Linked DNA regions of Caenorhabditis elegans. The protein of the gene in region 3 purifies or fractionates together with the protein of the main gene of each other region. This does not show direct contact. Each region holds a gene or a part of one and is shown on either strand. Other genes may lie near its edges.

What was found. Proteins that work in one complex are often made in the same cells at the same time.
Region 1: the proteins of B0495.5 (region 3) and F32D8.2 fractionate together in Caenorhabditis elegans (co-fractionation; one large-scale study listed by BioGRID). This does not show direct contact.
Region 2: the proteins of B0495.5 (region 3) and acox-1.6 fractionate together in Caenorhabditis elegans (co-fractionation; one large-scale study listed by BioGRID). This does not show direct contact.

The regions. Positions count from the first base shown.
Region 1 is NC_003283.11:10,880,906-10,888,094, reverse strand, and holds F32D8.2 (ATPase_AAA_core domain-containing protein), read right to left. Parts: upstream 4,318-7,189; coding exon 4,140-4,317; intron 4,096-4,139; coding exon 3,984-4,095; intron 3,936-3,983; coding exon 3,831-3,935; intron 3,773-3,830; coding exon 3,727-3,772; intron 3,684-3,726; coding exon 3,570-3,683; intron 3,525-3,569; coding exon 3,393-3,524; intron 3,346-3,392; coding exon 3,130-3,345; intron 3,085-3,129; coding exon 2,954-3,084; intron 2,911-2,953; coding exon 2,830-2,910; intron 2,785-2,829; coding exon 2,674-2,784; intron 2,631-2,673; coding exon 2,480-2,630; intron 2,429-2,479; coding exon 2,280-2,428; intron 2,230-2,279; coding exon 2,166-2,229; intron 2,110-2,165; coding exon 1,993-2,109; downstream 1-1,992. Other genes in the region: F32D8.11 (uncharacterized protein), read left to right, coding at 1-105; F32D8.3 (TIL domain-containing protein), read right to left, coding at 256-744, 832-899, 945-1,125; cat-6 (Protein kinase domain-containing protein), read right to left, coding at 4,784-4,905, 4,971-5,400, 5,477-5,626, 5,678-5,818, 6,995-7,098, 7,164-7,189.
Region 2 is NC_003284.9:15,832,080-15,841,523, reverse strand, and holds acox-1.6 (Acyl-coenzyme A oxidase), read left to right. Parts: upstream 1-2,977; 5' UTR 2,978-2,998; coding exon 2,999-3,115; intron 3,116-3,282; coding exon 3,283-3,464; intron 3,465-3,518; coding exon 3,519-3,586; intron 3,587-4,476; coding exon 4,477-4,660; intron 4,661-4,705; coding exon 4,706-5,128; intron 5,129-6,266; coding exon 6,267-6,620; intron 6,621-6,675; coding exon 6,676-7,134; intron 7,135-7,185; coding exon 7,186-7,402; 3' UTR 7,403-7,452; downstream 7,453-9,444.
Region 3 is NC_003280.10:7,694,113-7,701,501, reverse strand, and holds B0495.5 (thioredoxin domain-containing protein), read left to right. Parts: upstream 1-3,007; 5' UTR 3,008-3,018; coding exon 3,019-3,056; intron 3,057-3,100; coding exon 3,101-3,243; intron 3,244-3,287; coding exon 3,288-3,442; intron 3,443-3,488; coding exon 3,489-3,632; intron 3,633-3,689; coding exon 3,690-4,953; intron 4,954-4,999; coding exon 5,000-5,135; intron 5,136-5,183; coding exon 5,184-5,493; 3' UTR 5,494-5,567; downstream 5,568-7,389. Other genes in the region: cdk-11.1 (Cyclin-dependent kinase 11.1), read right to left, coding at 1-1,009, 1,079-1,297, 1,348-1,439, 1,493-1,658, 1,702-1,825, 1,873-1,985, 2,031-2,081, 2,126-2,189; Protein moa-2, read left to right, coding at 2,469-2,580, 2,676-2,827.

The DNA.
Region 1 (7,189 bases), on a different chromosome or scaffold from region 3:
GACACTGGAGTTGCGGTGGATTCTGTTTTTGAAATAGTTCCAGATACGTCAAAAAAAGTGGCTTCCATCGGAAAAAGACATCGGAAGCATCATGAAAAATTGTAGATAAATTGAGATTTTAATTGTTCATATTTAAATTGTTTTATTGTATTTAACATGTTTCCGCACATCGTTTTTCATAAAAATTGTTATAGTTGAATGAATCTATGAGATCTTGTTGTATGAAATAAAATGTTAATCAAATAAAACCAAGATTTACAACATTCTCTTTGCAAACCGGTTTCTGCGATGACGGAGAGCTCTCATAATTCGTTTTTGTTTGAGAAAATTCTCATACAATGCAACTTTTGCTGCATTCATTCCTGGTGGCCCATAGGAAAAGTCTGGAGGAGGAGTTGCTGATGGAGCTCCGATCATGTCAGACGAGAGTTCTTGTAGCATTGGAGGAGCCGATGGAGGTGTTGGTCCATTACGAAGAACTATCAGTGGTACTGTTACGAGTTCATCAGCAATTTCAGTAGCTGTTATAAGTTCAGTTGTCGGCTCTTCAGTTGTTGCTCTAGTAGGTTCTTCTGTGGTAGTTGTGATAACAACTGGAACGGCTTCATAGAGTCGTCTAGGTGGTTGTAGTTCAAAACGTCGAAGTTTGGTCCGTGGGCATTCTTCCGGTAGAACACACAATTTGAGAGAATTCCGAACAAATCCATTTCGACAAGTGCATCCAGGCTCACATTTAGAGCAATACTGGAATTTTTTGAATTATACCGATAATAGTACTATTGGAAACTTTGCCTGTTATTTACGATTGGATTTGAGAAAAAAGGTTCTTACCGGGTCTGGATTGTTGCAGGTTGATTCACAGGCACAATGAGAAAATGATTGGAACATAGGGCAGTTTTCTGAAACCTTTCAATTGTATTTAAATTCCCATTCAAATTACATACCTTCTCCATTTATTCTAGTGGTATCATTCATACGTAGTCTTTGAATAATCAAAGATAACCTTTGTTTATTGACTTTTGGAGTTTTCAATGTTCGAAAAGCTTTATGCCGGAACTCATGAGATACTTGAGAAAATGTGGATAACACAAGTAGAAAAGGTAATAAAATGGAGAGAGTATGCATCTGCAAATGAGAATGTAGGTGAATGTAATGAATGAGAGATGGAAATGGAACAGTTCAGACAAATGGAATGGCAAGGTGCGAATATGAATCGGAAAGGAATACGATATTATTAATTTGATGATGATGGGCAATTCCGATAAAAGCTATAAAAATCTAGAGGAACGGCCTTCAAACATTCAAACATGGCTTCACTCTACAGAAGTAGCCACTGTTTCAGTCCGTCTTTAATAGTCTCGAGGAAATTCAGATCTCGAAAAATAGTACAGTAAGGTGAGACCTGCATCTAGATATTATTACAAGGTTTTGTATGTCTCAGTAGACAAAAAAAAGAGAGAAGAAACAGTGAAACAATGTTCAGAGACGCAGACGGAAGCCGTTTGTGGAACCGAACTGAAGAAGAAAGTGAGTGAAAAACGTGACGAACGAGACGGGCTGGGGATTCGGACAAAAGGTGGTCATCTGTACAGAACTAATTGATATGGAAACAATCACAGAACACAGAGGAACATGGTGATGTAATGGAATTTGATAAGGATTGAGGGGAAAAGCTGATGAAAAGGGCGTAAAATCGAATAAAAAGGAGAATGGAAAGCGAGGGAAAAACTAGGAAGGACGAAAGAAATGAGGTGAAACGGGGGATGAAAATTCGTTGTTTATGTGGGTCAGTTTTGGAAAAAAAACAATATGCTTAAAATCAATTTCATATATAATTTGAAAAATAATAAGAACAAACTATATAGTGAGATATGTGACATTCTGAAATTTGGAATCTCGTATTAATCTTTGCCAGTGCCTGTGAGATTGTTGTTTTACAAATCACACATGCTGAAAACAGATTAATAAATAAACAATTTCCACCGGAAATCCCTACCTTGCAATACCAATGTTAACTTCATAACCGACAACAACCCTTGCTGTATCGAAACTATTAAATGAAGCAAACTCCGGTTTGAAGGTGAACATCTTTTTCAGCAAAAGGGTTTTCTGGAAAAAAAAACAAATTAGTTGCAACAAAAAAAGATAAAATTAATTGAACTTACCTTACCCCTTGAACTGATAATATTCACAAATCCGGTCAATTCTACGCCACGTACTTCCTTACTTCTGAACAACAGTTTATCTAATTGTAGAGAAATACAAATAAAATAACGCACGTTCCAATTGAGTATTCATAAAAAATTTTATAATCTTCAAGTTCAAACGAACGAACACATTTGTGTGTTTTCACTTCTTGTGTAAATCTTGTTCGCAATGTTTGAAGGAAGTTTTTTTCGCCTTTTTCAGGATACCCAGAGGATGTACTCTAAACATTGAAAGTATAATTATATTTTTCTCCGACTTTCAAAGAAATTACCATATTCATGCATAAACATATATTTTCTGATATTCCTTCAGACGTACAGTTCCTTGATGTTGGTTGAGCTATGAAGACAGATTTTGAAGATTTTTCTTTCGGATTGATTAATTCAACAAGCATTTGATTGAAATTAGTAGAAGACAATAACCTAAACTCAGATATTCTTTTTAAATATAATTTTTAGACCTAACCTGTTGAAATTCATATTCATGAAATATAGTTTCTGATTATTATTTTCTATGAATTGGTTGGATGGACGAAAAGCAAACATTGGATATTTGTCGTTTTCGTTTTCAATATCTCTGCAAATTGTTCAAATTAACATGTAATGTAAATAAGAATCTCACTTTGTTGATAAGTCGTACGAAGTGATGATTAGTGTAGTGTTCTCGAAAATGTTTGATTCCTTTAATAGATCCAACATTTTTCTGAAAAAAGGTCCGTTTTTTTCCTCAAAAACTTTTATAATACTTCAAATCTTGATCAATTGATTGTCTACGATATTCATCATATTCATCAATAAACATTGCTGAAAACACCTTGGAATCTGCTGTTGATGTCAGAAATGCTCCGATTTTTTCCAATTGATCATTTACTAATTTCTAGAAAAATTGTGATATAAACTTTTTTTGAAATATAAAACTTACTTTTCCATTTTTCAAACATAAGTTTCCATCAATTAAGAATTGTGTTATGAAATTCTGATGATCCAAAGTATCATAATCTACATCAATCATATATCTGATTTGTTGTGGACCAGAGAAAAAAGTTGTAAAATTATTTTGCTTTGCTTTTCTGAACATATTAATTTTATTTGAAATTCCAAGTTGTAGTAACAAATCTTGCATTGAATTTGGTTCATTCTGAATATTAGCGATATTGATAATTACAAAATCGAGTAACATCTTACTTTGCTCATAAATTGTGCAAATCTGAACTGGTTGTCTTGCATGAAATGCTTACTCAACGGCATTTTCTTCATAAATAGTTTGTGATTTATTGCTGGAAGAAATATTATGGCAATTGATCCCCCGTTTGATTTCTAAAATGGTGTTGAATTTTAGATTCTATTGTTAACTCATCTTACTTTTGGAATTGATGCAAAATTCACAAAGGGTTTCAGAAATTCAACAATACCGTTTCTTTCGCAAGCAAAAGCAAAATTGTAGAATGGAACTTTAACGGGCACATTTTTTTCAACCTGATGTTTATGATTATTAAAGATTTAATTTTAACTTTCATACCTTAATTGGGTGCTCATTTGGCCCACTATTTTTGTAAAAGGTGCATCTGAAGTTATATGTTGAGTTATTGACTTATTGAAGACAAAAAATTAAATAGTTCAAACCTTATATCAGAGGGTAAATCATTTGTATTTTTTGATCGAAGTGTCAAATATCCGTCAGATGATAAGTCAACCTTTTCATTCAGTTCATTTATTTTGCATTCGCCTCTTGAAATGTTATTCATTGGATTTTCTGCATAATTCAATTTTCCTCACCTCACAATATGTTGTTTCGATTTGTCCGGTGTAAGTCCAAAAACGTCCTCATCTTCATTCGGAAAGAAAATATATGGAAGTTTACAAACATTGGTCAGTAATTCTCTGGTTTCTGAAAATCAGACTGCAGGAAAATTAATCAAAAACATCACATACCTACCAAGGAATAAACAAACTCTGGTTTATACTTGATTCCACCATCCTTATCAAATTCTTTAATCTCGATTGAAAAATGACTCATTATCACCGAAAATATTAAAAGAAAAAAGCAAAGAAACATTAAAATCATGCTACTTGGAAGAATACTTTGGTGTTTTCTTAGATTGAACGACATTGTTAAATGGCTTTTGTGGTGTGAATGAACAAATGAATGTACATAAGAGACGGGGATGCTTAATGCCGGAACCAGTTCATGTAACAAATGAATACCAGATATGGTCAGTTGATTATATGTTACAACTTGGTATTTATAAAGAGGAAAGTTGTTAAAAATATATAATTTTGACGTGAAAAGTGCATCGAAACTGTCTTTTGGATAACCATCAGTCACGGGCTTTCACCATCTTTCATCGGAAATAGTTCAATCTTTCAGCCGCTCACACTGCGAAAAAAGTAGAAATTGTTTGCGTTTATCAATTTTAATATACTTTTATGTATCTGTTTTTTAATAGGAGCACGTTTTTTTATCTTGAAGAGATTTTGAAAACTTATAAATTTAACTGTACATTTTATTTATTCAAATCAATATGCAAGAAAAGGAAAGACATTGGCACCGGGCAATACTTATAAATTTTCTTCATTCATTCATCATCAATATTTTCCATGGTGTATGGAGCAATCCATGGATGAGCCATTATTTGGGATGCAAGTGGTCGGCGTTCTTCAGTTTTATTCATCAAGCGAGATACCAAATCTTTAGCCTCTGAAAATTTGCTCCTTTTTCTATGAATAATTTTTTTTCTAGAGATTCAGTTTCAGTCAACTCACTCAATGAAATTCCTTTCCATTCTGGCATATCCAGATTTGGTTTAGCTTGCATTATAAGTTTGAATAATCTGGTTTGATCTGGTGCACGGAATGGAGCATATCCAACAAGCATAACATAAAGAACAACTCCAAGGGACCAAATATCACATCTTGTCGAATATCCGGTCTCCCGAAGAACTTCTGGTGCGCAATAGGTTGGGGTTCCACAGATACGGTACAGAGGTCCAAGAATGTGACATGCCAATCCAAAATCGCAAAGCTTCACACTAAATTTGTCAACGAGAAGAAGATTTTCAGGTTTGACATCTCTGTGAACCACATTTCTTTCGTGAAGATAATTGAGTGCAGATGCAACTTGGAGAGTTATGATAGCAGCATCTGGTTCCTCGATTCGACCATTTTTACGGATAGTTTCATATAAGTCCCCGTACTGAAAAAATCTTTTTTTTTCAAACTGTGTTGTCAAGTTTTGCACGTTATTGTTCAAAACTGGGAGTATCATTCACCTGTGCATGTTCGAAAACTATGAAGTATTGATTTTCAGTGCTAAAAGCATCGATAATCGATATGATGTGATCATGTTGAATGAGTGACAACATCTCCACCTCATTGTCCACAAAAAAGCATTTCCCTCGCATTGCTCTTTTCTCAACTTGCTGAAAAAACTTTGAAGGAAATGAAAATTGCAATGTTGACTGGTACCGAACCTTAAGCGCACATTTGGTGCCATCTTCCTTGCGTCGAGTTAAATGCACACTCGAGAAATTTCCTTTGCCAATAATAGCCCCAATCTCGTATTGCTTTTCAATGTCTTGACGCCCGTCAACACGTTGGATCCATTTGGAAACCTAAATAAAGAAATGAAAGTTGAATGAAGAAAGTGAGACGCTGAAAGATTCCATTAGTGACATGATCTGTTGCCTAACTATCCGGAATGTAGTATTTCCCTCATCCCAATTTCTTATGCATATTCTAACCTAAACCCAGAAGCGGTTTGTCCCTTGAACATACTACAAGTTATTGTTATGACGGATGTGCCGAGAAGGAAAATGGAACAAGGCCTTTGCGTTCAAAAAACATTTTCCAGAAGTGTTCGTTTGCTAAAAGTAAAATATTTGTTAAATAGGTCGCTAAAGTCAATGAGGTGGAACATTTCTTTCGTAGATCTTTGGCAGTAATTGCAGAAAGTAGACATGTTTTATTTGGGTATTACGTAAATTTTGAACTTTTAAAAACTTTTGACACAACGTATCAACAAAAGATCGGGACAGACAAGCATGCTTACTGAAGTGAAAAATCGGCCAAACGTTGGAAGTTTATTGGGAGCATGAGGTAAATATTTCGAAGTTTGAAGGTTACTTTGTTGTTCTTGTCAATTTTGTAAAAATTGGTGAATTCTTTCAATTTAAATGCTTTTTTGTATGGACCCTCATAGATAACAGTTCTTTTAACTGGCAAAGTACGGGAAATTCAAAATTTTATCAGTAAAAATTTTAATTTCAAAGCCACGATTGCGAGGCTTCCAAGGATCAAAAAGAAATATGGACAAGGGGAATACCCTCAATTGCCGAACTGCAACCGATACTATGAATGAACTGAAGAAACTGAAGAAACATGTTCAAACCTATAATCACAATCAAATTCTGATCGTTGATTCACTTAGCTTTCAAAACATTCTCAACCCTAGACATTTTGTTCGATGAGTCAACATCCCATAAACATATACAAAAAATACCTATTGGGACCATTTCCGGTGACTCTCTTATTCTTTCTTCGTTCCCATTTCCGTACTAGTCCCCGTACCAAGCATATGATGCAATAACAGAAACATCTGGAGACTCACAACTTGCTCAAAAAAGTAATAAGTAAAAGTAAAAAGAAAAATGAAAAAAAAAACGAGTGGACGGAAATGGAATGGACATTCAGAAAGTGCACATATATACGAAAAGTGTATAGTTGTACTTATCCCCCATTATTAATGTTGAAAAAAAACAAGATTGGCTCAGGTTCATGTTCTGACTCACTCCAAAAAATCCTTCATTGACGTGACGAGATGATGTATGAACCATTCTAGGTTGTTTTTCAACTTCACGAGATGCATAATTATTGTTTCTATCAAGAGAAACACCTGTAAAGATTGCAAAGGGGTATAATTTTGATTATATGAAAAATGAAAGAAAAACGAAAGCAAACCTTTTCGATTTCTCCTGTCGTATAGA
Region 2 (9,444 bases), on a different chromosome or scaffold from region 3:
AGTAATTAGTTCGGTTTGAGAAACAAAATAAAAGAATGAATAACAAATTGCTGAATATCAAGAGAGGGCGAACAGATAGGGAAAAAGAGAAAAGAGCTGAGTGACCCAAATGTGCGGAGAAGGGCGAGGAATTACGAATGAATGTAGGCCGAACGTAGACGAGGCCGCCACGCGAGGCAGTGCAGCTGTGGAACCGACCGACGCAGCACGCCCGCAACGACGCATGGGGGTACGGTAAACGACGTCATGGTGCGTCGTGTTGCAGACTGCAAACACGCAACAAGTGAAGACGCACCACTTTCCGATAGGATGGGAGAGGAGGAGGAGGTGGGGGGAAGAGTGAAGAGACACAGACAGATTTGGTTTATAGAGACTATTGGATAGTCAATTTGTATAGTGTTTTTTTTGGGAATTTGACTGACCAGGAAGTGAGTGGAGCAAACGGGCTGTTTTGCTAAAATCTCTTTCCACATCGAAAAAAAGAACAGTTTTGAAAAATGAGTACAATAAATTTACAGGATATTGAAAAAAAGTGCCGATTAATTCTGAAAAAACTTTGAAAAAAACAATTCAGAACTGACAGCTCATAAGTAATACATATAAAAGGTTCTGGAAAATGTTATCTAATTTTTAAATTAAGAAAAAGTGTTTAATTTGGAAAATATTATAATGTGAAAATTTTCCAAACACACATCCAAATTGTCCTTCATACCTGTTCCAAAAAAAAAACAAAAAATAATGTTGCTAATAAAATTAACATGCATAAAAATAAATTTTTTGGTAGGAAAACTGGTGTTGCAAGATTTTTGACTTTCTGAAAGTCATAATTTTTCAAAGAGTTGACTCATTTTTATTTAAAAAACAGAAGCTTTTGGAAAAATATTTTTAAAAAAGATCCAAACACATCACATTACATATAACATTTAAGTCAACAGCAAAATTGAGCAAGAAATATTACAAAATTTGTTTTAATACAAGAAAATTAAAGTTAAGTTTTTTTGATATTTCCGAGAACTGACATTATTATATATTTCTAATTAATTGTTTTCCGACAGTTAAACTTTGCAATCTGGAATTTCTTCAATTACAGTGACGAATTATAGTAAGTGAGCAAAAATTTGGAGTGAAAGTTTTATAGTACCTTAAGGCTTTGAAAAGAAATTTTTCTTCAATTTGCCAACTTAAATTTTTCTAATTAATTTTTATAAATTGCCAGAAAATTGTTAGACTCCTTGTTAAATTCCTGATTGAACAAACAAATACATTTGTGTTAAGAAACCACGTTTCAATTGAATTATTAATTGTTTCAGTTTCCATTTATTCAAAACGAGAAAATATAATATAGAAAAAATGGATTCCGAAAACAAAAATCCCAAATAAATGCCATGTTTGATATCTAAAAACTTAAATTTTACAAGTGTGGGGGAATAATTCTCAAGAACGGAAGAACATTTTGTATCATGTTTTTATTTAACTTTCAAGATGCGGTGTTTATCTTGCACTCACAAATTTTTTTATCAGAAACTATCTATTCAAATCTGTTTTTTTTTTGTCAAACTACATAGCTCAATCTCAACTTACCCAGTTAAATATGCGACCAGGAAATTTTGTTCCAAAGAAAAAATGAAACCGATAAATTTAAAGTTGGAGTAGCGCCAGTGGGGAAAATGCTTTAAGACATGTATATGGTACCACAATGACCAAATATCATTGTAAAAAAATTTCTAAATTTCATATGATTTTTTGAACATTGAAAAAATCTCGAATTGCATCAACTTCCTATTTGAATTACCGCCAATAATTCGATGTTCGATGGAGCGCGTTTGTATTATTCTAACTTTTATTTATCAATTTTTTTTATTTTTGATTGATTTTTCATGTTTTTTTTTGAGTAATTTTACTGGAAATTTAATGGAAAATTCAAGAGAAATGTAAATTTGTTATTAAAAAGCGGGCGCTGAAGCCTAAATCTGTGAAATAGAATATTTCAGGCTCAACGTCGTTGGAAAACGTTATTTCTTTTTTTTTCAATTATTTTTAGTGAACAATCTACATTTATCTTGAATTTTTCATTAAATTTCTAGTAAAATTACACAAAAAACATGAAAAATCAATCAAAACTAAGAAAAATTGATAAATAAAAGTTAAAATAATGCAAGCGCGCACCATCAAACATCGAACTATTGGCGGTAATTCAATTAGGAATTTGATGCAATTCGAGATTTTTTCAATTTTCAAAAAATCATATAAAATTTAGAAATTTTTTTAAAAAATTTTTACTATGAGGTTTGGTCATTGTGGCACCATAGGCATGTTTTAAAGCATTTTCCCCACTGGCGCTACTCCACCTTTAATCTCATAATCAATTGTGCGGTTATTTTTGTCAATTTTTTGCACCAAGCGTATTTTTAAGAAATTATCAAAACTCTCTCCCTTTTTTGTATAATCAATATTCTTATAAACAAATTAATCCAGTTTAATCAGTCTTCGCGTCTACGTCTCCATGTTTTCAATTGACTCTCCGAGATAACAGGAATGCCTAACGACTACACTGTTGTCGTTGCGTTCATTTCATAAACACTTATTTGCACGTTTTTTCTTACGTGTTTTTTTCTATTTTCGTGTATCTCTGTTTTTTATAGATTTTCCTATAAGTCATATAAAAAGTTTTTTTTTTAAAGACAGTCTATTTAATCAAAGTATACTACAGTTTGAAGCAATTTCTTCAAAAGTGTTTCTATTATATTGGAACCGTAGTATAGTTTTAAACCAACGTTATCAATAAAGTTCCTTGTTATCATTTTTCCCGTTGTTAGCACGTAGTGTCCCATGTAGCCAGTCTATTTATTAGTACTTTTTAAGCAAGTTGTGTTGCTCTGCTAAAAAACTTTGATTTTTTTGTTGTTTTTTTTTTCTTCTAATTTTTCAAAGAAAAAATTTTGTACATATGTATTTCTATCAACTTACCTCTTTTTAGGAACTCACTGAAATTTTTGAAATGAGTCGATGGATTCAGCCAGGCGATAATGTAGACATTACCAATGAACGGAAAAAAGCTACGTTTGACACAGAACGTATGTCAGCTTGGATACATGGAGGGACTGAAGTTATGAAGGTAAGCTTTAGTCTGCATTTGCTAGAAAAAGGTAAATATTAATTCGAAAATTTATATTATTAACTTTTATGGATGATTTTCCAATCTTAATTCAAAAATTATGCCAAAATAAATAACGGAGCTTCCAAAAACAGTTAGTTATTTGGAAAAAAATTCTTAATGTTCAGCGTCGCCGTGAAATTCTGGATTTTGTCAAAAGCGTTGACGACTTCAAAGATCCGGTTCCAACAGAGTTTATGTCTCGCGAAGAACGCATTCTGAACAATGCTCGTAAAGTTGTGGCAATGACAAATAACACCGATCAGATTGATGGATCTGACTTCTTCGGAGAAGGAATGTATTATCAAGCGTCAGTTTTTTTTTGGGAATTTGGTAAAAACATATTAACTGAAAATAATTTAAGATTGACGATGGGCCGTGATCTTCATGCAATGTCGCTTCATTACGTTATGTTTATTCCAACACTTCAAGGTACTATTTTTAGAGAAGTAGAAACCTGAAAATGTTTTCTTCGGAACATTAGAAGTTGTTCCAATATAAAATTTTCAAAAAGAGACTTTTGAAAAATGTTCAAAGTTAAATTCAATTAACTCAAAAAATCACGCATTATTGGCAGTTGCAGCTTTTGATCTTGAGTAGTTTTAAATCTTAAAACTTTTGATCAAACTTTACATTTCAAATGCAACTGTAGTGAAAAAAAAATCTTAAAGGTGGAGTAGCACCAGTGGGGGAAATCTTAAAAACCACTCCAATTGTCTCAAAATGACCAAATATAATAATAAAACTCTTACAAAACTTTTTTGACAATTTTTTATTTAATGTCAAAAAGTGACAATTACTCAGTTTCTGCCACTCATAATTTTGGAAGTCGACCAAAAAAAAAAGTTTTTTTCTTCATTTTTTATACTGTAATTTTGTTTTAACTATTAGTATTAAAACGTTGTAGGGGTCGGGACATGCGACATTGCTTTGAAATTCCTCAAAAACTCATATGTTTCAAAATTTTGGCAACTTGCCAAATAGGTGTAATTTGGCAAAATCCCCAGTGGCGCTACTCCACCTTTAATAGTTCATATTCAATTTAACACTTGCACGGGGCTCCCATGTCGACCCCGAAAACAACTCTCTCACGGTGCGCTCCAAAATTTTTATAGCGGTGCGCGGAACCTAAAAAGTGTCGGACGCGGAGCCACGTTTTCACAAAATAGTGCGATAGGGTATGTCACCATTTGGTGGAGACTTGGCTCCGCGTCCGACACTTTTTGGGTTCCGCGCATCGCTATAAAGACCCCTACTTGCATTTATGATGTAAATCAGAAATCCACGTTAAAATCCAAATTTATCAAATAAAACTTTCTCAGGTCAAACTGACGATGATCAACTGGACGAGTGGCTTACCAAAGCAATTTCCCGTGCAGTAGTTGGAACTTATGCTCAAACAGAACTCGGTCATGGTACAAACCTTTCAAAACTGGAAACCACTGCAACTTATGATCCAGCCACAGAAGAGTTTGTTATGAACTCGCCAACAATCACTGCAGCCAAGTAAGTATTCAAAATGTGATAAGAAATGTGATGGTCTTAATTAAGATGGTGGCCGGGAGGCTTGGGTAAATCGTCGAACTACGCTGTGGTTGTTGCACAGTTGTACACAAAAGGAGAGTGTAAAGGACCTCATCCGTTCATTGTGCAACTTCGCGATGAAGACACTCACTATCCACTCAAGGGAATTCGTTTGGGAGATATTGGACCAAAACTTGGCATCAATGGAAATGACAATGGATTCTTACTTTTCGATAAAGTCAGAATTCCAAGAAAAGCATTGCTGATGAGATACGCAAAAGTGAATCCAGATGGAACTTACATTGCTCCGGCTCATTCCAAATTGGGATATGGAACTATGGTGTTTGTGAGATCAATTATGATCAAGGATCAGTCGACTCAACTTGCGGCAGCTGCAACAATTGCTACGAGATATGCAGCAGTGAGAAGACAGGGAGAAATCACTCCAGGGTAAGTAAGGGTTAATCTGGCTTAAAGGAGGACTAACGGTTCCGACGATTTTGAACGTATAGACCCAAAATGAGCTCGAATGAACGAATTTCGTAATGAAACTGCTCAAAAAAGTTTCAAAAAATTTTTATGGCGGTTCAAAATTTTGAAAAAATTACACTGATTTTGGCTAAAATCGCAAATTTTTCCCATTTTTCTGTGTCACATCATTTCGAAGTTGGATTTTTTGGAATTATCGTCCTTTATTACATATATTGGTGGTTTATCTCATTTAATTTCGTCGATTAAGGTACATTTAAAGCCGATAGGTGACCAAAAATCATCGAAATTGGTTACCTATCGGCTTTAAATGTGCCTTAATCGACGAAATTAAATAAGATAAACTACCAATATGTGTAATAAAGGACGATAATTCCAAAAAAGCTAACTTCGAACAGATGTGACACGGAAAAATGGGAAAATTCGCGATTTTAGCCAAAATCTGTGTAATTTTTTCAAAATTTTGAACCGCCACAAAAAATTTTTGAAAACCTTTTGAGCAGTTTCATTACGAAATTCGTTTATTTGAGCTCATTTTGGGTCTATACGTTCAAAATCGTCCGAACCGTTAGTCCTCCTTTACGTATGAGAAATGTGTACTTTAAAGGTGGAGTAGCGCCAGTGGCGATTTTGTCTAAATGCACTTATAATGATTCAAAACAACAAGAATATCATAATAAAACGCTTTAAAAAATTTTAGATTTTTCATAATTTCCGGTCAAAGTTTTGGCAAATTGCCAAAATTTTGAAAAATACTAGCTTTTGAGAAAATTTGAAGAAATGTCGCATGTTCCGACCTCTACAGTGTTTTAATACAAATAATTTGAACAAAATTAAATCATAAATAATGTCGAAAAAAAAATGTTTTTTTGGTCGACTTCCAAAATTATGAGTGGCAAAATCTGAGTAATTGCCATTTTTTGACAGTAAATAAAAATTTTTCGAAAATTTTTTGAAAAGTTTTATCATAATATTTGGCCATTTTGAGACCAACAGAGTATTTTTTTAAAACTATTTCTCCACTGGCGCTACTTCACCTTTAAATTGTTCAAAAGTTAAAAAAAAGTTCTTAAAATCCTGTCTCACATTATATATTCAGAAAAGGGGAAGTTCAAATCATTGACTACCAAACCCAACAATTTCGTGTCTTCCCTCAACTCGCCAGAGCGTTTGCTTTCATGGCAGCGGCCACTGAAATCCGTGATCTCTACATGACAGTCACCGAGCAGCTTACACATGGAAACACCGAACTTCTCGCCGAGCTTCATGTCTTGTCTTCCGGTCTCAAGTCGTTAGTGTCGTGGGATACTGCTCAAGGAATTGAGCAATGCAGATTGGCGTGTGGAGGTCATGGGTATTCACAAGCTTCTGGATTCCCAGAAATCTATGGATATGCTGTTGGTGGATGCACTTACGAGGGTGAAAATATTGTGATGCTTCTGCAAGTAGCAAGGTGAGATAAAGAACAAGTTCTGATCACTGATATTTAACAAAGACTTATCTTTCAGATTCCTGATGAAAGCAGCCGAAGGAGTTAGAAAAGGAACTGCTAACCTAGCAGACATCGGAGCTTACATTGGAAAGCCTGGAAGGAAAACCTCGCGCTTAACAACTCACCACCACTACACAGATGCTGATATCGTTGAAGATCTTGAGCACGTTGCTCGCAAACAAGTATTCCGAGCCTACGACCGCCTGAAAAAGGCTCAGGAGCATCTTCGTCCGGAAGATGCTTGGAACTCGGTTTCTGTGGAACTTGCTAAAGCTTCGAGATGGCACGTTCGTCTGTATCTCGTGAAGAACTTATTGCACAAAGTTTCTATTGCTCCTCAGGATTTGAAGATTGTGCTCTTCGATGTTGCTCGGCTGTATGCTTATGACATCATTACATCATCAATTGGAGCATTTTTGGAGGATGGCTACATGAGCTCTAATCAGATGAATGAAGTTAAAGAAGGTATTTATAAGTGAGTAAAAAACTTGGAAAGTGGTGATTGCTCATAATTGTCTATTTTCAGATGCTTGTCCAATATGCGTCCAAATGCGGTTGGCCTAGTTGACTGTTGGGATTATGACGATAAAGAGCTCAAATCAGTTTTGGGAAGACGTGACGGAAACGTGTACCCTGCTCTTCTCCAGTGGGCTCAAAATAGTCAACTCAACAGATCGGAAGTTCTTCCGGCCTACGAAAAGTATCTTGGTCCAATGATGAAAGACGCTCGATCAAAATTGTAATCGGTTGTTTTTTTGTTGCTGTATAGTTATATAAATATTTATTATTACGATTTAAAAAAAAGAAAAAGCTTATTTTTTATATATTCTTCAATATTGGCTACATATCCGTGTTGCAGCGGTCATAAATCAGCTTTTATTTAATTATCATATTTTATTCTAGAAGATTATTACCAGTAAATACAGTGTATTTTTTTCTACTTCTACGGCTTTAAAGGGGGGCGCATTTACGTGCGATGGTCTCGAAACGCGCCACTCATTGATTTTTGGGGTGCGTGGCGAGACCATTTGGTTTTTTTGGTTCCAAAAAAATCGATTTTTCGTCAAAATACAAAAAAAAAACCAGAATACAAAAAACAAAAAAACCAAAAAATTCCCAGCCCTGATTGTTATCTGCAACATGGTACATCAACTGGTCTGTAACGAAAATCAGAGCGTTTCAGGACACTCTAGAACACCTATCGCGTTTCTACGTACCAAATTTTGTCTAAAAATACCCAAATGAGACGTCAAAACACTTTTGGACGTTACAAAATTGCAAACTGTGTTCAGTTTCATTTTTAAATTCATTGTTTTTATCGAAAAATGTCAAAAATTTGAGGGGACGCCTTGAAGTTAGGCGGTCATTTTTATGATTTTTTCACCTAATTTATGTAGTTTTCCATATATTTTCATAAAAATTTTGGACAGGGGGTTTTTGACATTTGGAATCGAATGACATTAACCATTTTTTGATAAAAAATTCAGAATGTGGTAGAGTTCAAAAGTTAAGGGAGCGCTATAGAAGTTGGGCGCAGTGTACATACAAACGTAGAAAATTCAAATGTTCTGAGAAAAATATTATTTTTATTTGAAAATATCGTACCATATTTCAAGATATCGAATAAAATTTTATTGAGAAACTTTTTTTAGAAGAAAAACTAGAAAACAATTAAATTTAATACATAAAGCATATGACCCATCTTTCTTTTTTGACCCTTCCAATATGTTCACCGACTTTCGACTGCCGAAGTTATGTTTCCCTCTTTTGTAATCATCGAGCACATGCTGAAATCAATTTTTTTATACATTTTCATGTTTCGGTTTGTTATTCATCCGCTTACCTACGCGGTAAATCTAACATGCAACAATAGCAGTCATCCAATGTGTTGTTTAAACGTTGGCGCTGAAAAACAAAATTCAAAGAATTAAAATCAATACACACAAAAAAAACTTACTTTAATTGTGAGCTGTTTGCTATACTGACTCCCGGTGCTTCTTACAAACATTTGCTTATGATGTCGGTAGACGTCTTCATCATGATCATTGAGCTCTTCCAGACTGTACTCATACCAGACAAAGTGATTTCGTAGAGAAACAGCGTTTTCAACCCGTAAGGCACTGAAAATACGGGAAGCTTTTTGATTTCGTTAGGTGGGCTTTAGGAATTTTTTATATATTCAGCCAAAAGTGTAAGCCTAGCTATATGTTGGAAGTTAATGTAGAAAAATATTTTGAGTAAGGGTACATCAGAAGTATCATGCCTCCACTTTCAAAAATGTAAAACGAATTTTGCTACATATTTGCTTTAAATAAAATCCTACTAAAGTTGTACTGACTAAAACTCACTAAAAAATCTGCTATCAGGTTGGTAGTTTGGCAACGTTTGTCGATGAGAAGATGCAGAAGGTAGGAGAAAAAAATTGGAAAAAGTTTGAAAAAATCAACTATAACCTTAACACAAGAAGCTCAGAAAAGGGAAAAAAGTTGGGAAAAAGCAGGGACCTCAACACAAGAAGTCATTGACAGGACAGGGGTACTATAACACAAACAGTCAAGGAAGGGGGATAGGGGGATGACATGAAATATGGGATTGGGAAATGCTCACAAGGTTTCCCTGTAAGGAGTTGACCCACAGGCAATTGTTTTGGAGAAATCGATATTCACTGGCTTTTTCGAATTATAATTCGAGCAAGAACAAAGTTCAGCTCAGTGTTACCAATTTTCCATTAAACATTTTTTGCCGGTCAGCTTCCCACAAGGCTTCCTAATAAACTACAAGTTGG
Region 3 (7,389 bases):
CCAGCTAGGAACCTCTTTCTCAATTGATTATATGGATACTTCTCAAATGTCAATGCCTTCCAACCGTCGAGTTCAGTGACTCCAGGCCATATTGATTCCGTGGGAGTTCCCATTTCCATGAAAATTTTCTTAATTTGTTCAAGTTCACCGCGTCCCGGGAACAATGGTTTTAAGAGAATAAACTCTGCCATAATACATCCAACAGACCACATATCAACGGGAGTTGAATAGAGACGTGTACCAAGAAGCAATTCCGGTGATCGATACCAGAGAGTTACAACAATTGATGTAAACTTTTTCAGTGGATCTCCATATTCACGAGCAAGTCCAAAATCGGCAATTTTCAGAATTCCCTTGTGAGACATCAATAAATTGGATGTTTTGAGATCACGATGCAGAATCCAAAGTTTATGCATGTGTTCAATTCCAGATAGCAGTTGCTGCAGAAGTGTTTTCTGTTCACCTATCGAAAATCGTTTGTTTCGACGAGACATTGTGTCTAAAAGACTTTTCATGTCATGTTCAACAAACTCCATAGCCATGTAGATCTTATCCATATTACTTCCTAGTAGAATTTCTTTAACATTCACAATATTCGGGTGATTTCCAGCTTTTAGAAGCATATTGATTTCACGAAGAGCAGTGATTGGAAATCCTTCTTTCTCTTTCTCCATTTTCAGTCTTTTTAACGCGACAATCTCATCCGTTCGTTTATCTTTTCCACGATATACAACTCCAAATGTTCCTTCATCAACTCGATTCACACATTCATATTCATCAATATTTCTACATCCCATGAGACCGGGATAAAAAACAGGTAACTGGGCGATCAATGTTTTTTGTTTCATTGACGCACGTTTTTTCATTGCTTCTTTATGAAGTCTTTGTTCAGTTTCAGTCATTTCTTCCCATTCTCGATCTTCTGGTGTTTTTAAATATTTATCTTCATCGCTATCTGCATCATCATCCGAATGTAGAGCATCATCCAATACTTCTATGACATCGTCATCTATAATTGATTTAAATGAATAAAAGTATAACTTAATTGTTTCAATTTTGATACTGGGCAAATTTTTACCGTCTTCAGCTTTTCCAGGGCTCTTCGGTTTAGTATCGTCATGATCACTTTCTGGGTCGCTTTCGAATTTTGAGTATTTCTTGGGGCCAGCTGGTGAGTCTATAGTGAATTCGACAATTTCTTTCTCTTCCTTTTCTTCTAATATCTCAATTGGCGACATTTCTACATCTTCAATCACGAGAACATCGTCATCTTTCTTTTTGTAGTTCGGGTCGAGAACTGAAATTTTCAAAATTAAATCACTATAAAATGTATGTGGTTTAAAATACTTCTATCAAAGAGCTTTGCATCTGCTGGAACATCTGTATGTTTTGACTTTTTGTGTGGCGATTTGTCATTATCAGGAGAAGTTGTGCTGGATCTAAAAAATCAAACAAAAATTATTAATTTCTTTTCAGAAAGAAACGAACTTACTTTTTATGACGATCAATATGCCTTTTGTGTTTTTCTGAGTCTCTTTCAGACGAACGATCTCTGTTACTTCTGTTTGTGCGGTGCCCATCTGTTTCGTGTTTTCTATGATGGTGATGATGTCTATGTTCATGTACTTTCTGATCTCTTCCAGATCTTTCCTGTCGTCCTAAAAGTATTAATAAGTACCTCTTATTCTATTTGCTGATTACCTTTGAAATCACGATCTTTTTGTCGAGCATCTGGTCCACGCACGTCTCTTCTGTCATCTCGTTTGTCCTTTTCCCGTTTTTTATCTCTTTCTTTATCTCGATATCGGTCCTCTTTTGCCTTTTGCTGTGAATTAATAATTTTAAAACAGTAATACACAAAAATTAACATACAGCGTTTTTAGGCTGTATTGAAAACCGTTGTTCTGTGGTATCATCATCGCTTTCACTGTTCTTCCGCTTGCTCAGACGACTTAATATGCTTTCACGCATTTTTGATTCCAAACCTGAAATTTATAATTAGTAGTTTCAAATTTAATCACTTTATATACCTTTGTTCGACTTGGCTGGATTTGGCTCATCGGAACTCGACGCTCTTTGACCTAGAAATAATAAGTTACACTCAAAACTTGTGAAACCTACTTACTTTTCTTGTGACTTTCATCTGACAGCTCACCTTCGTCATGAGAACTTCCCAAGTGGTCGCTCATAATGATTTTATCTTGAAAACGAAATAATTCTGAATATAAATTTAACAATTTTGATCAAGAAAACATTTTCGAATAGGAGTACGGTGGACAAGTACGCAAACACCGATTACACCTCGTGCGCGCATTCTTACGACACTTGTTTTTTTTATCGTTTTTAAAAACAGCGACGACTTCTTAAATAATCTTTTATCTATAAGTTTCATGTGTTCCCTCTTTTTTATTTATATAAATTCACTGTTACATTGGTTTCTTCGTTAAATATTAGTAGATTTCCAGAAAATGGCTCTTCCCGGAGAACGATTCCACGTTCTTGCTCAATTGGAGCATCTTCAATCGAAATACACCGGTACGGCCATGCGACATGAACCGTCACGAATGGATTGTGAATCAGGTTTGTTTCTCTCTTTTTCTCATAAATTTCTTTAAAACGGTAAACGGCTACTGCCAAAATCTATAGAAAGTTTGAATAAACAAATAATATTCCAGCACCGCGACACTCGCGCCTTTCAAATGTCTCATCCCGGAATGAACACGTATATTGCCGTTGTGGAGAACGAGAGCCGAGCTCGAACCCGCTTCAATCTGATAAATCGCATGATTCAGCCGTGTGGACCGCCTCCAGAGAAGAATCCTCTTGATGACGCCTAACTATCTGAATAACTTATTTTATATTTTTTATGAAGTAATTTGATCTCCATTCAATGTGTTTGAGAATATTTAACCTTGAGTAGAAATTTGGAAAAAATGTTGGTTACTCTATGATACTTCATGGTAGCTCGTGTTAGTGATAATTTATTTTAGAAAAGATAACAATTCAGAGACAGTGTTGATGTTAAGAGCGCTTGCACCAATAACTGTTATCCGAATGTAAGTTTATTCAATTATGAAAATTGTAAAGCAAAACAAATCAGGACTTCAACGTACAAAAATCGTCTTGGACAGGAAAAGAGTCCTTACCTCCTCCAGCATGCAAACAATCCCATCGATTGGTATCCGTGGGGACAAGAAGCATTCCAGAAGGCTAAAGATAATAACAAACCTATCTTCCTGTCAGGTAGATAATCAAAATATATTATCAAACAAACTTTAATATTTCAGTTGGATATTCAACTTGTCACTGGTGTCATGTGATGGAAAAAGAATCATTTGAAAATGAGGCAACAGCAAAAATCCTGAACGACAACTTCGTGGCTATCAAAGTTGACAGAGAAGAACGACCAGACGTTGATAAACTCTATATGGCTTTTGTCGTGGTATGAAACAAAATTAAAATTGTTTTAATCAATATCTCCATCTCAGGCTTCAAGTGGACACGGTGGATGGCCAATGTCAGTTTTCCTAACACCGGATCTTCATCCAATCACTGGCGGAACCTATTTTCCACCAGACGACAACCGTGGAATGCTCGGCTTTCCAACTATCCTCAACATGATTCATACTGAAGTAGGTGCCACAAAATCTTTTCATTTAAAAATTAGCCAAAGTTTTAAAATTTTTCAGTGGAAAAAAGAAGGAGAGAGTTTGAAACAACGCGGAGCCCAAATTATCAAACTTCTTCAACCTGAAACTGCTTCTGGGGATGTCAATAGATCCGAAGAAGTGTTCAAATCAATATATTCTCACAAACAATCATCTTTTGACAGCAGACTTGGAGGATTTGGCAGAGCTCCGAAATTTCCAAAAGCTTGTGATTTAGATTTTCTAATCACTTTTGCTGCAAGCGAGAATGAATCCGAAAAAGCCAAAGACAGTATCATGATGCTTCAAAAAACTTTGGAATCAATGGCTGATGGAGGAATCCATGATCATATTGGAAATGGATTTCATCGATATTCTGTCGGATCCGAATGGCATATTCCACATTTTGAGAAAATGTTGTATGATCAATCTCAGCTATTGGCTACATATTCAGATTTTCATAAATTGACAGAAAGAAAACATGATAATGTAAAGCATGTCATTAATGACATCTACCAATACATGCAAAAGATCAGTCATAAAGATGGTGGATTCTATGCTGCAGAAGATGCTGATTCCTTGCCAAATCATAATTCTTCGAATAAAGTTGAAGGAGCGTTTTGTGCTTGGGAGAAAGAAGAAATTAAACAATTATTGGGAGACAAGAAAATTGGATCAGCTTCACTTTTCGATGTAGTTGCTGATTATTTCGATGTTGAAGATAGTGGAAATGTTGCACGATCTTCGGATCCCCATGGTGAACTGAAGAATAAAAATGTCCTGAGAAAGTTGCTGACTGATGAGGAGTGTGCCACGAATCACGAAATATCTGTTGCGGAACTCAAGAAAGGAATCGATGAAGCAAAAGAAATTTTGTGGAATGCTCGAACACAAAGACCAAGCCCACATCTTGATTCAAAAATGGTTACTTCGTGGCAAGGACTAGCAATCACAGGACTTGTGAAAGCATATCAAGCTACTGAAGAAACAAAATATTTGGATCGAGCTGAAAAGTGTGCAGAATTCATCGGAAAATTTTTAGACGATAATGGAGAGCTTAGAAGATCTGTATATTTGGGTGCTAATGGAGAAGTTGAACAAGGCAATCAAGAAATAAGAGCATTTTCTGACGATTATGCGTTTTTGATTCAAGCTCTTTTGGATCTCTATACAACAGTTGGCAAAGATGAATATCTCAAGAAAGCCGTTGAGCTTCAGAAAATTTGTGATGTAAAGTTCTGGAACGGAAATGGATACTTCATCAGCGAGAAAACCGATGAAGATGTTTCTGTGAGAATGATTGAAGGTTACTATTTTAATTTTGATTAGTACACATAACACTTAAATTTCAGATCAAGATGGAGCAGAGCCCACAGCCACTTCAATCGCATCAAACAACCTTCTTAGGCTTTATGACATTCTTGAAAAGGAGGAATATCGTGAGAAGGCGAATCAGTGTTTCCGGGGAGCTTCAGAGCGACTGAATACGTAATATCGAACAACTTTTGCTTGAGCTCGCAACATTTTTAATTTTAGGGTCCCAATCGCCCTACCAAAAATGGCAGTCGCACTTCATCGATGGCAAATTGGATCTACCACATTTGTTCTCGTTGGTGATCCGAAATCTGAACTTTTGTCCGAAACTCGAAGCCGACTGAATCAAAAGTTCTTGAATAACCTGTCTGTTGTACATATTCAATCAGAAGAAGATTTGTCAGCATCGGGACCTTCTCATAAGGCAATGGCTGAAGGACCGAAACCTGCAGTGTACATGTGTAAAGGATTCGTTTGTGATAGACCAGTTAAAGCCATTCAGGAATTAGAAGAACTATTCAATAAATTCTGAATGTGTAGATTTTGTCTTATCCAGATACTGTAAATATGTCATTTTTTGTCAGTTGAATAAACGCTTAGTCATTTATCGAACATCAGTTTCAGCTTTGTGGCGACCACCACGTGTCTACTGATAAATTAACAGATTGTACTACTTTGCATGTAATGTGCTAGAGGACGGTTCTCTTATCATCACAGGCACTGACGACACTGCCAAAGTTTTACAAGCTAATTTATTAGCGCTCTTCGGCCGCAATGGCACGATTTGAATTGGTTTATTGATTCCAGAGACTAGTTTCAGTTTTTGATAAGAATGAATTATTATTCATTTTCTAGTTTATGAATATATATGTAACTAGGGAAGCCTATTTATGATTTTTCTAATTTTTTAAAATTGTTATTTTAGAGAGGTGTGAAATTAAAATGATATATATTTTCGAGTACTTTAAAAAATAAAAACGGTACATCCTATATTAAATTTTTGATTTTAGATCCTTCCAAGTTATTGACAAGTATTAACTGCACTTCTCATAAAAATTTTTCAAATAGATCTATTTAGTCTGGAATAGGAATACTTTTGGCAATTTTCTTGAGAATCATAGAAGACGAATTTCTGAACTGCTCTTTGTGAAGCCACGCCCATATATTGGCATTTTTGTATCCAATTTTTTGTAGAGTACCTGAATCATTATCACTACATCTGCTAAACAATATATGGAAGTTCTATGAGAGGTGAAAGGTAAATCATATAACAACTGTAATAACATAGAAATGATTGTAGTATATTTCCAATTAGGCTGAGTTGATCTTATTGAAGAGTTTGAATCATAGCAATTTTTTCCTCTTTTAGTATTTTTCAAAACAAATTTTCACAATGTTAGATGTAGTATTTAGCATTAAGGCATCTGTAATCTCCCAGAAATGTTTTGGGAATAAAACCCTTTGACTCTTTGGTCCTTTTTTGCTCCAAATAATATCTGATTTTAACCCGTTCTGATCTACTTTTTACCTTTCGATCGTCACATCCGCGTACACGTTTCTCTTGCTCTCAATTGCTTATCTTTATGGCCTTTTCCCCCACTTTTTGTCGACTATCATGCGGACGTGGCTTCCTTGCTCCCTCCCGGTTTTTTTGAAAACACTTGTGAATTTATTTTTTGTGGTCAAAATTACGAAACATTTGAATTCTCAATCTATTTATAGACCGGGTGTGGTATGTTATGCCATGTTTTTGTCATTGCCAAATGAACATCGATATTTTAATTTTCTGAACTTACCGTACCCCCTGCGTTACTATTTTATTTTTAATTTGTATAATTTCATTGCTATAATTTGTTGTCCTTGAAACATTGAAGATATCGAAGAAATAATGACAAAAATCAGATAGAACAATTTTTCCTACTCATCAACTCACATTTTTCTATTTTCTCTTGTGCGAAAAAAATAGTATATTGGGAATATTTATAGTATTGCAACTTTTCTCTTAGTTCGCAGAGTTGCAATACTACTAGATCCCTAATAGAGGAAATATGGTGACCAGCTTTTTGCAATTGGAAAGTTGGGAAAAAAGTATATATATTAATAGACTTACACTCTTGTAGTTCGTAGAATTTTTCAGGAAATCTGACACGCAAGACTTTTTCAAAAAGTTTTTTTTTTTAATTTGGCAATCTGCCAAAACGTTTACTGAACATTTTGAAAACATCTACCAGTACCTTTAACACAACGAAAAATTGTTCTAAGCAATATTAACTGTGATAATTGATGTTAAGACCTGAAATTTAATCACAAATTTCACCTGGAAATGACAGTAATCGGCTTCTAAATACTGTCGACACAAGTGCCATACCTAAGATTCCAATCCTATTACCATGTTTCCCAATTTCATTCTCTTTCGTATCTCTATTTC